Neurospora crassa OR74A: one gene and its partners. The protein of the gene in region 1 interacts with the protein of each later gene in a biochemical or structural test. Links are inferred from orthologs where the notes say so. Each region holds a gene or a part of one and is shown in the gene's direction. Other genes may lie near its edges.

Region 1 (3,755 bases):
GTGTATACAACGCGCACAGTGGCCATGGATGGATGTGTGGTTGATTGCTTTTGGAGTGCCTGTGTCGTCAAAGATGATTAGACTTTGGTGATATTGTCATTGTTTGGAACAATGAGTAAATGAGTAATTCCAAGCCCCGTCTCGTCTAGAAGCAACCGAAGTCTTGAATCGAGGGTCCTTGCTGATGACTCTTTGGGAACACTACTACCGGGCAGCCGGGCTATTACCTTGTACGTATTCAGTTTGAAATGGAGACAGGTCGATATTAGCGACGGGTTGATGCTCGGGACTGAACATGTCCATCAATTGCGACTTTGTGCCAGTACGCTACGTGATTTTGCCTCGTGCTCGGTTCGGTGCCCGCAAAGACGCAAGACAAGCGGTAAATGACAGGAACAACAACATGACGCGTTTCGACATGGAGACTGACCGTTAAGAGATCCCATAACCGACAACGAAGAACCCACCCAGCTTTATAACCTAATTACGACTGCTTCCTTCCAACGTGTTCGGACAACAGGTTCCAATCATTTTCAAGATTTCCAGGCTGCCTATCCGTGGAGAAGCAAACCCGCCTCAAGGCTTCCAGGTTCGCAGCGAGGTCCAGTGTCACTCCAAGCGGTGATGTTATCAAGCTGCAAGTGCCTTATCACCACAGAAGGACAGGCCGTTTTAGGTAGCGTCGGGAGTTGGGGCCAATGGCGGGCCGGCAACGTGCAACTCCACTCGCAGCGTAACAGGGCCCTCGTACCGTCTGCGTACCCCGGGCCCACCTGACCCCTTCTGGAAAGGCGGAAGAGCTGGGCAGACGGCCTCGAATGCTACCGCAGGGTACCCACGAGCTACATTGACTGGTGCAGACCATGTCGAGGCATCATGACTCCAATGCACCTGCACGGACCAGTCCCCTTGCACATCATCACGAGCTCCAGGTGTAGTCACTCGCAAGTCGCTTGGGACGCTGCCCCCCTCTGCTGCCACCTGGATCTGGCTGATGCTGCCCTGCCCATCGAGGTTCCCGTCCCTCTTTTGCCGTCTCCTCTCGTCATTCACTCACTGCCATTAATCTCAACTTCCTCTCAAGAAGAGACTGAAGATAACGTCTTTGTCTTCCCCCCTTTGGGAATCACGCATATCAAAGTTTATAGTCTACCAACCTAATAAACCAAAGAACTGCGGGCAACGGCTCTTTCCCGTGCTCCGCTCCGGGCACAAATACCCTGGGTACCTACCTAGGTTGACGATTGTACAGCTCGCCCGCCCCCAGTCTTGTGTCTGTTACGTCGGTACCGCCTGGGTACCCGATACGGTACCTCACTTAGAGGTACTGGTGCGCTATCACTTATCGCTGTCCATCCAGCAGTCCACCCACTCCTTCCTGCGGCGTCCCTCGATCCGCATCACCCATCACCGCGACCGTCGACCACGGCCAACCGACCACCCAGACACTCCCACGACAGGACCACACCCATTCCCCCCCGTTGCGTCAGGTCCCCATCCACTCATCATCCGCAACATCTCCTACCAGCACCGCCCTTGGGCCCTTCAGAATTGCCTCCCTCGGCCGGCTCTACCGAACTACCTTTGCGTCTCTCTCCCCCCATCCCATATCGCCCGTTCATCTCTCCATCCTCCGAGTCAAGGTCACAGCTTCGGTCTCCCTCTCCGCTGTCTCCGGTCTCGCACCCTCAGGTTCCGATCGCCATCGGCGGGATCCATCGCGTCTTTGACATCTATCGCCATATACCACATCCATACACCCGACACCATACCAACTTTCGCCGCTTCCGCATGAACTGCCGTATGCCGGTCCGCCGACCATCGCGTCATCCTATTGCTCTCTCGACCCGTTTCTCATAGACGCTACCTAGTACAAATCCGCCATCCTATACAGATCAATCGCACAACTAGATATAACCCAGCCGCAACCCTCGCTGTTGTCGAACCGATTGATACGGACGAGGCCAGCCTGCGGCCGATCGGGTCTGAGTCATTGACTTGACGTAGGACGTCAGTCTGCCGCGGTGGAGGAAGAGCAGCTGTCAACAACCACGCTTCCGTACTGATAGCAGACGTCCAGGTACAACAGTGTCGGTGTCGGAGCTTGGACCCTATTCTACTGTGTCCTGAGCCTTCATCCGTCCGTCGTTTCCTCCATCAACCTCAGCTGCTCGACTGCCTGTTCGTTCTGCCGTTCTTCCGCTCTTTTTCGCATCGACGGTTCCATCAGCCACCCGTTCGGGCTCACCTAGGCATCCCGTCCTCTCCGACTCCTCCAGACTTTGAAACGATTGTACTGAGCTCGACCCCCCTTCGCACCTCCTCTTCCATCCCATACCACCGTATACTCTCTCTTGGCTCCACCCAGTCTCATCGTCGCCTGGCTGTCCATCTGCCATCCCCATCCAAGCCTGGCGCATGACAGATTCGAAGAACCATCAAGGTACTTCGTACTCGAACCTCTTCCCTCGACCACGCATTTGCCGTTTCATCTTTGGCTTCGACACATCCTCGACCTATCATCTCCACCTGCATCATTGCATAACCGAACGCAATCGGCCTTATTCATACAAACTTCTCTGCTTCTGCCTAGAGCTCCTCTTCATCATCCTCACCACCTCAACCCCGGATCGATAGCACCATACTATTTGGCGTATACATGCCTGCCAGACTTGAGGTTGACGTCTTCCGAATAGTTTAGTCCCTTGGGCTACCTACCTTTACACTGACTTCCCGTCATCAACACATACACCAGGAAGCCATGTCGGACCGAACGTCTGCTTCCTCGTCTTCGAGGAGGACGAAGCAGAACTACGATGCCATTGGATCCTTTGTCATTGACCAAGAGATAGGAAAAGGAAGCTTTGCAAAGGTTTATCTAGGTCGACATAAGGTTAGTGTACTCTGCAGCCTCACCCTGATCGATCTTTCAGCATCCCATTCGGCCTTGACCTCACATCCGTACCGTGATCTGGGCTGCTTGTTGACATATCGTGCCTACAGGTCACTGGCGCATTGGTTGCTGTCAAATCCGTTGAGCTCGCCCGCCTAAATAAGAAGCTGAAGGAAAACCTGTACGGGGAGATCCAAATTCTCAAGACCCTCCGACACCCTCATATTGTCGCGCTCCATGACTGCGTTGAATCCTCTACCCATATCAATCTGATCATGGAGTATTGCGAACTCGGTGACTTGTCGCTGTTCATCAAGAAGCGAGACAAGCTCATAACAAACCCCTATACGCACGACCTTGCGCGAAAGTACCCCGTCTATCCGAACGCCGGCTTGAATGAGGTAGTGACTCGCCACTTTCTGAAACAGTTGGCGAGCGCATTACAGTTTTTGCGCGCTGGGGATTTCGTTCATCGAGACGTCAAGCCCCAGAATCTTCTTCTGCTTCCCTCTCCTCATATGATGGCGAACAACAAGACGGCAAAACACATCATGAGTGGCAGCTATGACTCCTTTACGCCTGCTGCCGGCCTAGCCTCGGCCCCGATGCTGAAGCTTGCCGATTTTGGTTTCGCCCGTGTGCTGCCGTCGACATCCCTCGCCGAGACACTGTGCGGCTCTCCTCTTTACATGGCCCCAGAAATTTTGCGATATGAGAAGTACGATGCGAAGGCCGATTTGTGGTCTGTGGGCACGGTATTGTACGAAATGGTAACCGGAAGGCCGCCTTTCAAAGCCAGCAATCATGTGGAACTTTTGAGGAAAATCGAATCATCGGGCGATGTGATCAAGTTCACAAGGGA
Region 2 (3,145 bases), about 1.2 Mb from region 1:
TCAACTTTTGGTAGGAAGACTTCTAGCTTCACCAGTCTGACGATCTCTCGGCCAGAAGTTCATGTCCAGCTTTACATTATTGGTGATGTACAGACGCGTGGGCAAGGCGGTTCGATGGTCATATGTGTGTAGTTACATTTGTGCGACCATGAATGATATGTACCCGAAAGGCTTCGAGATCCGACACGAGGTGGAAATCCGCGCGGTGTAATATCCGGACCTGGTGGAGAGGATCGATGACTTTGTTCTCGAAAAGGTCATTCAAGGCATCGATCCCATCCGTCTGACTCGAAGGAGTTTTGCTCCATAGTATTTTATACTGGGTAGTCGTGGAATCATATACTATGTGCCTCATAGGGGTAATACTCGTTGAGAGGTCCGCGATCCCTTCCAGACTCGGAGCAGAGTGCATGTCAAACATATTCGCTTCGCGGGTGAACACTGTACACCAAAGACCCTTTTTTCGCTTCAGGAAACCTCGTTAGAAGCATGGGCCGGCGTTCCGCTTGTTCTGTTTGTGCTTTCTAATCACCTTCCACATCATCAGTCCGTCCCCTTGGAAACTTTTGTTCAATGTTCCAGGAAGATGTTCTTGACAAGTGCGATTGTAGGGATCTGAGTAGTCGTCTTAGTCGTCATTGCACATGTCAATCATGGTTGAACAAAAAGCAAATGAAAGGACACGGAGATGCAACAAGAGCCCGTGTTAGGACAAGGTCTTCCTATAGTAGCATTGGCACTAACATGTGCTAGCGGGGCGGTGTTTGGCCGACGCCCGCCTGACGGTGCTGTTCCAGCCCAGAGGGCATGGGTCTCGATGGCCTGGCCCAACAAGAAGCGGACGGCTGTGGTTGGCTTCGACACATCGCCATTCAGCCTCGAACAACAGCTTGATTCCATCGATACCTCATCGCATCGCCATTGCCGCCATCGATCGCGCGTCGTCTATCAAACCCCTCCCCCTAATCCATCGACAATCGTCGAGCCCGAACCACGACCGACACAGCGACGCGCTTCCTTGACCAAACCATCGCAACTTACAATCCATTAACCTAATCTAACGACGAACCCTACGATTCGGCAATTCCAGACCTCATTGCTCCCCACGCCATCACATCGGCTCTCTCTATCCCAACGCGAGACATCAACATCATCGTGTACAGTCAGGAACCATCAACAGCGATACTCGCCTGATTTGCGCCAAAGCTCTGAAACACGACCACAACAAAACCTCGGGGACGTTTCAAATACCGCTACCATGAAGCTCTACTACATTGGTGTAAGATACGGCTGCTTTCATAGGGGGTACAAGAAGGTACCTGCTGACCGCGAACAAGATCTACAAAAACACCGAGCAGCCTGCGGTGCAGCTCTGCGGTGCCCACGAGCTTAGCGACTTCTCCAGGTTCACACGAGACCAATACAAGAACTTCATGACCATGATCAGCAGGACTGTCGCAGAGAGGACGAAGCCTGGCCAGAGGCAAAGTGTTGAGGAGCAAGGTGCGTCTATGGTGAACTCTCTGCTCGCATACATGTGCCTAGCTGACTAGGTGGTGTCCGAACAGATTATATTATCCACGCCTATGCCCGCTCCGAGGGTGTTTGCGGTGTCGTCATCACCAAGGACTACCCTCCTATCGCCGCCCACAGTGTCCTTTCCAAGCTCATGGACCAGTTTCTCTCGGAGAAGCCGGTTGCCACGATAAACGCCGCCAAGAACGACGGCGACATCCCTTTCCCGGCCATCGAGCAGTACCTTCGCGACTACCAAGATGCCAACAACGCGAGCAGCATTGCAAAGATCCAGCAAGAGCTCGACGAGACCAAGATCGTCCTACACAAGGCAATTGATAGCGTATGTCCATTCACAGAGGGTAGCAATGCTCTATATAACATGCTAACCTAGTTTTAGGTTTTGCAACGAGGCGAGAAGCTCGACGACCTGGTTGCCAAGAGTTCCGACCTGAGTGCGCAGAGCAAGATGTTCTACCAGAGTGCGAAGAAGCAGAACTCGTGCTGCCTGGTTATGTAAAGATCGTTCATCAATACCAACCAACCACGCGCGACTGTCTTCGCTTTTAGTCAGCCGCACTGATATATGCCATCGACCGCAACGTTCCCCCTACCCAAATACAAAGAGCGACTGACCCCTCGTTGTCTTCGAGGCACTGGTGGGGGTCTCTTCTAATTCAGCTTTTGGTTTCCGCGCAGGTTGCAGTTTGGCTACTGACGACAGAGGGCCTTACAGTAGCCGCTTTGGATATGTGAAAGCCACTTACCTTGACGGCTTCGTGGGCTCTGAGAATGCTAAACTTCTAATTCAACCTGCAATATACCCTTTCTCATATTCATTGTTGTGTGGTACATACCCGAAACTGTGAAAGATTGACCACTGTTTGGCGCTAAAGCTGTGAAATACATACTTCGACTACCAGATGTAGGTAGTCCTGTTATAGATTTGTTATGTGTCGAACCCGAGGCTGCGCACTTATCTGAGAGATCTTCGCTCCGTTTCTTGCATACCCGTTAGTTTCATACGACATCCGCCCTCAAAGATTATGTGATGGGCCGACACAAGCGAAGCGGTCGGGTTCCCCAGTCACGACATTCGGTTGCAGTGATGACGACCTTGTCCGCCACGCCGTAGTGGCGTAAACTGTGCGAGTCGTAACTAATGTACACTATGGTATATTCTAGGGGTTGTTATCCCTCTCAAGCTAGCCCAGCCAAAAAGACTCTTTTGAAGATATGAATGGAAACGTTGAGATTCAAACTACAAGACTACGCAGCAGCATCAATTGAGCTGATCGATGATGGCGGCATTGCGTACGGATCTTCCTCCATGCCGATCTTATATCGGCTCCGTCGGCGTCTACTCATGTGCACTACAGACGTTGGATGCAAGCTGGGGTTCGAACAACATCATAGGAAACTGAGACTGTAAATGTGCGGGGTGGCAGAGGCGCTCCTACCTGATGTCGCGCCTTTGCTTCAAATGAATGGGGATTCGGCTTACGGCAAAGATCATATTAGAATTCATGGGATCATCATTGGGGGTCTTTGTAGGTGACTGACATGTCGAGAACATCTATAGTCAAGGTAGAGAATATGTCACAAGTGAGAACTGCTACATATACGGCGT
Region 3 (3,755 bases), on another chromosome or scaffold:
GGTACCTGGGCCGACACGAGTGGACTCGCAACGTGGGCTGTCGGAACACGCCGCGCTGAGATGGACAGTGTAAGTATGTATACTATGGGGTGTGTATAGGGCTGGGATCGATGCAAGATAAGGCCGGGTTGAATGCAATTTGCAAGAGTGTGAAAACGCCAAGTGGTTGACTTGTCTCTCTGACGAAGAGTGCCGCACAGCGGGTGGAATGATGTCAGTGACGGATTGGCTCGGATGGTTGACCACAGAGCTGATAAGAGGGTCGGTAATCGGGTGGATCGGCTTCCACTTGCTCACCGGATCTCCCCACGGACAGGGATTCCAATAGTGATGTTTTGTGGGGTTGGATCTTGATCATCAACACTCTATCCATGGACATTGTGTAGGTCAGGAGGCTTTGAGAGCAACCTAGTTGCATACAATGAAACGACATATGCTTCATCGTAATTTTGGTTGTGGTCAAATATCCAGAACCTTGAGGTCTCATTTCGTTCGTACACTTGTTTCACATGAGCCTTATCTTATCGGCATACATATGTAAATGTGCTGGATGATGGAACCTAACTGAAGCTAGAAGCTTCCTAAGATCAGGAGTCCGTTGGACCCGTGAATCAATGTTGCTCCCAAATCCAAAAAAAAGGGAATCATTCATTCATTCATTGATCCATTCATTCATTCATTCATTGATACATTCATTCATTCAATGGAAGCCCATGTGGACACCGCTCAGGTGGCCCAGCCTCCAAGTCCACGATAATAAAGGTAGCCATGGGAACAACGGCCAAAGCACTTTCGAGGTATACCAAAACAAAAAAGTTCCGTAGCCGTACTTTGTTGTCGTCTCTTGGACAGAGAATAACCTGGAATCTCAACCACATTTCATCATCATTGTTTTTTTTTGTCTTTTTTTCTTTTGGGACTTGTTTAGCTGTGAAATGCACATCATCGGGACGACTCCAAGATTGTTAGTGCAATACCGTACATACCGCAACTGAAGTGGGAAAGGGTCAGGAGGCGGCTGCTGCGTCACGTGCATCGTCACCGCTTGAGTCCCCTGTTTTGGATGGATCAGTGTCCCGCCTCTTGGCCGGCGGTCGCCAATCACCCCCCCGCCCGGAGAGTGTGCGGGTGGTGTGGGTGGGCTGCCACTGCCACTCGCTGCCAGCAGTCAGCCAGGACAGCCGAGGGCGCTCTCCCATTCCATCAACTGCCCGTGTTAAGTTGCTCTGCGTGTTGCCCGTTCCAGGTTCTATGCTGCGTGCTGTTGCTGCCTTTCCATCCGCCCACCTACACTAGACTTCTACAATCCTCCACATCATCAATCAACCAACAGACCGACCTCCCACCCCCAACGACCTACACCTAATCTCATTCAGCGAAACCATCCATCTTTCGCTCCACCACCGTCCACCTTACGATACCCGCCTTATTTCTTCGCTGTCCAACTCAACCCAACACCACCACATCGCATAGCGCGTCCCTCGTTGCCCATCATGAACCCTGAGTAGTAGGTTTAATCACGTCTCCTGTTGCCCTTCTCCTGCTCTTCCCAAATCACCGTAAGCCGCCGCCACGCTGCCGCCACCTACAATCATCGCCGCCGCCCGTATCCCATGTTGTTTCCATGACGGATTGCTAACATGTTTAACCTTCAGGGTGCCCACCGCTTCCCCTCTTCACCCGACGTCGTCCCCTTCCCTTTCGCGACTCGACCGATCACCGCCGCCACCACCCCCAAAGAACCCTGCTGACGATGCAACCAGATACGACTACCTCTTCAAGCTCCTCCTCATCGGTGACTCCGGTGTCGGAAAGTCTTGCTTGCTCCTTCGTTTTGCCGACGATACCTACACCGAGTCCTATATCTCCACCATCGGTGTCGACTTTGTACGTCCTGCTATCCTGCCTGCGCAACACATGCGTTCGACCCCCATCAACATGCTGACCGTTTGGCTAGAAAATTCGCACTATCGAGCTTGATGGCAAGACCGTGAAGCTCCAGATCGTAAGCAACCCCCCGGCACTCCTGGACACTTTGGAAATCCAAATTCGCTGACCCAGTCGCTTATTCAGTGGGATACCGCTGGCCAAGAACGTTTCCGTACCATCACCTCTTCCTACTACCGTGGCGCCCACGGCATCTGCGTTGTCTACGATGTCACGGATATGGACTCTTTCAACAACGTGAAGCAATGGCTTCAGGAGATTGACCGTTACGCCACCGAGGGCGTCAACAAGCTCCTCGTCGGCAACAAGAGCGATATGACCGACAAGAAGGTTGTTGAGTACACAGTCGCCAAGGTACACAGCCACCCCTAACCCTCGTGTCTAAGCCACATACTTACACATCAACCAACAGGAGTTCGCCGACAGCCTGGGCATTCCCTTCCTCGAGACCTCCGCCAAGAACGCTAGCAACGTCGAGCAGGCTTTCCTTACCATGGCCCGCCAGATCAAGGAGCGCATGGGCAGCTCCATCGCCACCAACAACACGAAAGCCAGCGTCAACGTCTCCCCCGGCCACGGCGTCTCCAACAACTCTTCCGGCGGCTGCTGCTAAAGCGTCTGTGCCTTGCGGCATTGGTTGCGCTCTTGGCGTTACGGTTTCGCATCGGACGGTGTTTGACGACATGATGATGCGATTGAATGTTACGGCGTGGGCACTGGGTTGAGCTGTGATGCAAATGCTGCTCTAATGGGATCTCAGTTGGGAATGTTTCGGCTCTGCTTCTGTGGTTTTGCGAGGAACATGGGAGGAGACTTGGGGCGGCTTTACATGCTACCTTGGGAATTCATCACACGGTTCCGCGGGCTCTTCTTCGCTTGCCGGGACAGGTTAGGGTGGGGCCTAAGAGGATGGTGATCGAACGCACCGGAAAAGGGAGCTTAATAGTTGGCTCATCACCAGTGTCCGTCACGATTCCTGGCAAAGGGCAAGGGGGGAAAGAGTGGCTGGCTGAGACATGGGATGGGCGGCGGGCTTCTTAGAGAGCTTCCACGACCCTTGATGATGTTGGGGGTGTGTGTGTTGCGTGTGTGTATTTTCGGTCTTGGGCATAACTGAGGACGCGGCACGGTTTTTTTTTTTTTTTTAAACACATTTGTTACTTTTGGTTTTTTTTTTAAGGAGCTAGACTACAGTTTTTGCTATTTTTGTGTTTTGAGGCAAACCCACTGATCTTTCCATGCTACAGCTCTCTCACACATAGAGGAAACCTTTCGCTTCAGAGAGATGACCGGCACATTTACACCAAGAAGAACCACACGTACAGGCACACCCATGCATAAAAAACAAATGCTCACCAGACTTCAAGCCCTTAGCCAGCTCTAGACGTCCTCGATAGTTACTCGCGCTTGATGAAGTCTCTCAAAGTGACGGACTTGGTTATGCTAGTAGAGTTTGATAGTCTAACTGGATCTGTAAACATTGAGATTTTGGACATCCTGCCGGCTGATCCAAAGGCCACGATCAGACTGCTGTGGATAACCCACTCTCCAGGGTCTTGACAGCAGTATATTTATGAGAAGTCCAATCGACGGTCGGTAAATGCCCCTTGTCCCATATCACGGATAGTATAGCCAGCCATATCAGAGTTGAGGATTTGTTGTGTTGAAGCACCCCAATTCAATCAGTAATCGCAGGTATCAACCGCTTCAAGGATTGAAGAGACACTCGGTTTTAAAAGCTTGCTTTACAACTATACCCGTAGCCAGGATCCGACTTTCCATCTCTTGTCAGGCCCTCTTCTTCCCAT

What was found.
Region 2: of the proteins of apg-1 (region 1) and NCU08973, one has a biochemical effect on the other in vitro, tested with the Saccharomyces cerevisiae proteins (2 studies listed by BioGRID). The link is inferred for Neurospora crassa OR74A from reciprocal best matches to the Saccharomyces cerevisiae genes ATG1 and YKT6.
Region 3: the proteins of apg-1 (region 1) and ypt-1 form a complex in vitro, tested with the Saccharomyces cerevisiae proteins (2 studies listed by BioGRID). The link is inferred for Neurospora crassa OR74A from reciprocal best matches to the Saccharomyces cerevisiae genes ATG1 and YPT1.

The regions. Positions count from the first base shown.
Region 1 is NC_026503.1:2,936,651-2,940,405, reverse strand, and holds the start of apg-1 (ATG1 protein), read left to right. Parts: upstream 1-1,210; 5' UTR 1,211-2,761; coding exon 2,762-2,893; intron 2,894-3,003; coding exon 3,004-3,755. UniProt on the Saccharomyces cerevisiae protein: Serine/threonine protein kinase involved in the cytoplasm to vacuole transport (Cvt) and found to be essential in autophagy, where it is required for the formation of autophagosomes.
Region 2 is NC_026503.1:4,097,355-4,100,499, reverse strand, and holds NCU08973 (SNARE protein Ykt6), read left to right. Parts: upstream 1-816; 5' UTR 817-1,258; coding exon 1,259-1,279; intron 1,280-1,337; coding exon 1,338-1,503; intron 1,504-1,568; coding exon 1,569-1,858; intron 1,859-1,915; coding exon 1,916-2,035; 3' UTR 2,036-2,490; downstream 2,491-3,145.
Region 3 is NC_026502.1:3,521,605-3,525,359, reverse strand, and holds ypt-1 (small GTP-binding protein), read left to right. Parts: upstream 1-1,220; 5' UTR 1,221-1,493; coding exon 1,494-1,504; intron 1,505-1,763; coding exon 1,764-1,887; intron 1,888-1,957; coding exon 1,958-2,005; intron 2,006-2,073; coding exon 2,074-2,301; intron 2,302-2,359; coding exon 2,360-2,560; 3' UTR 2,561-3,441; downstream 3,442-3,755. UniProt on the Saccharomyces cerevisiae protein: The small GTPases Rab are key regulators of intracellular membrane trafficking, from the formation of transport vesicles to their fusion with membranes.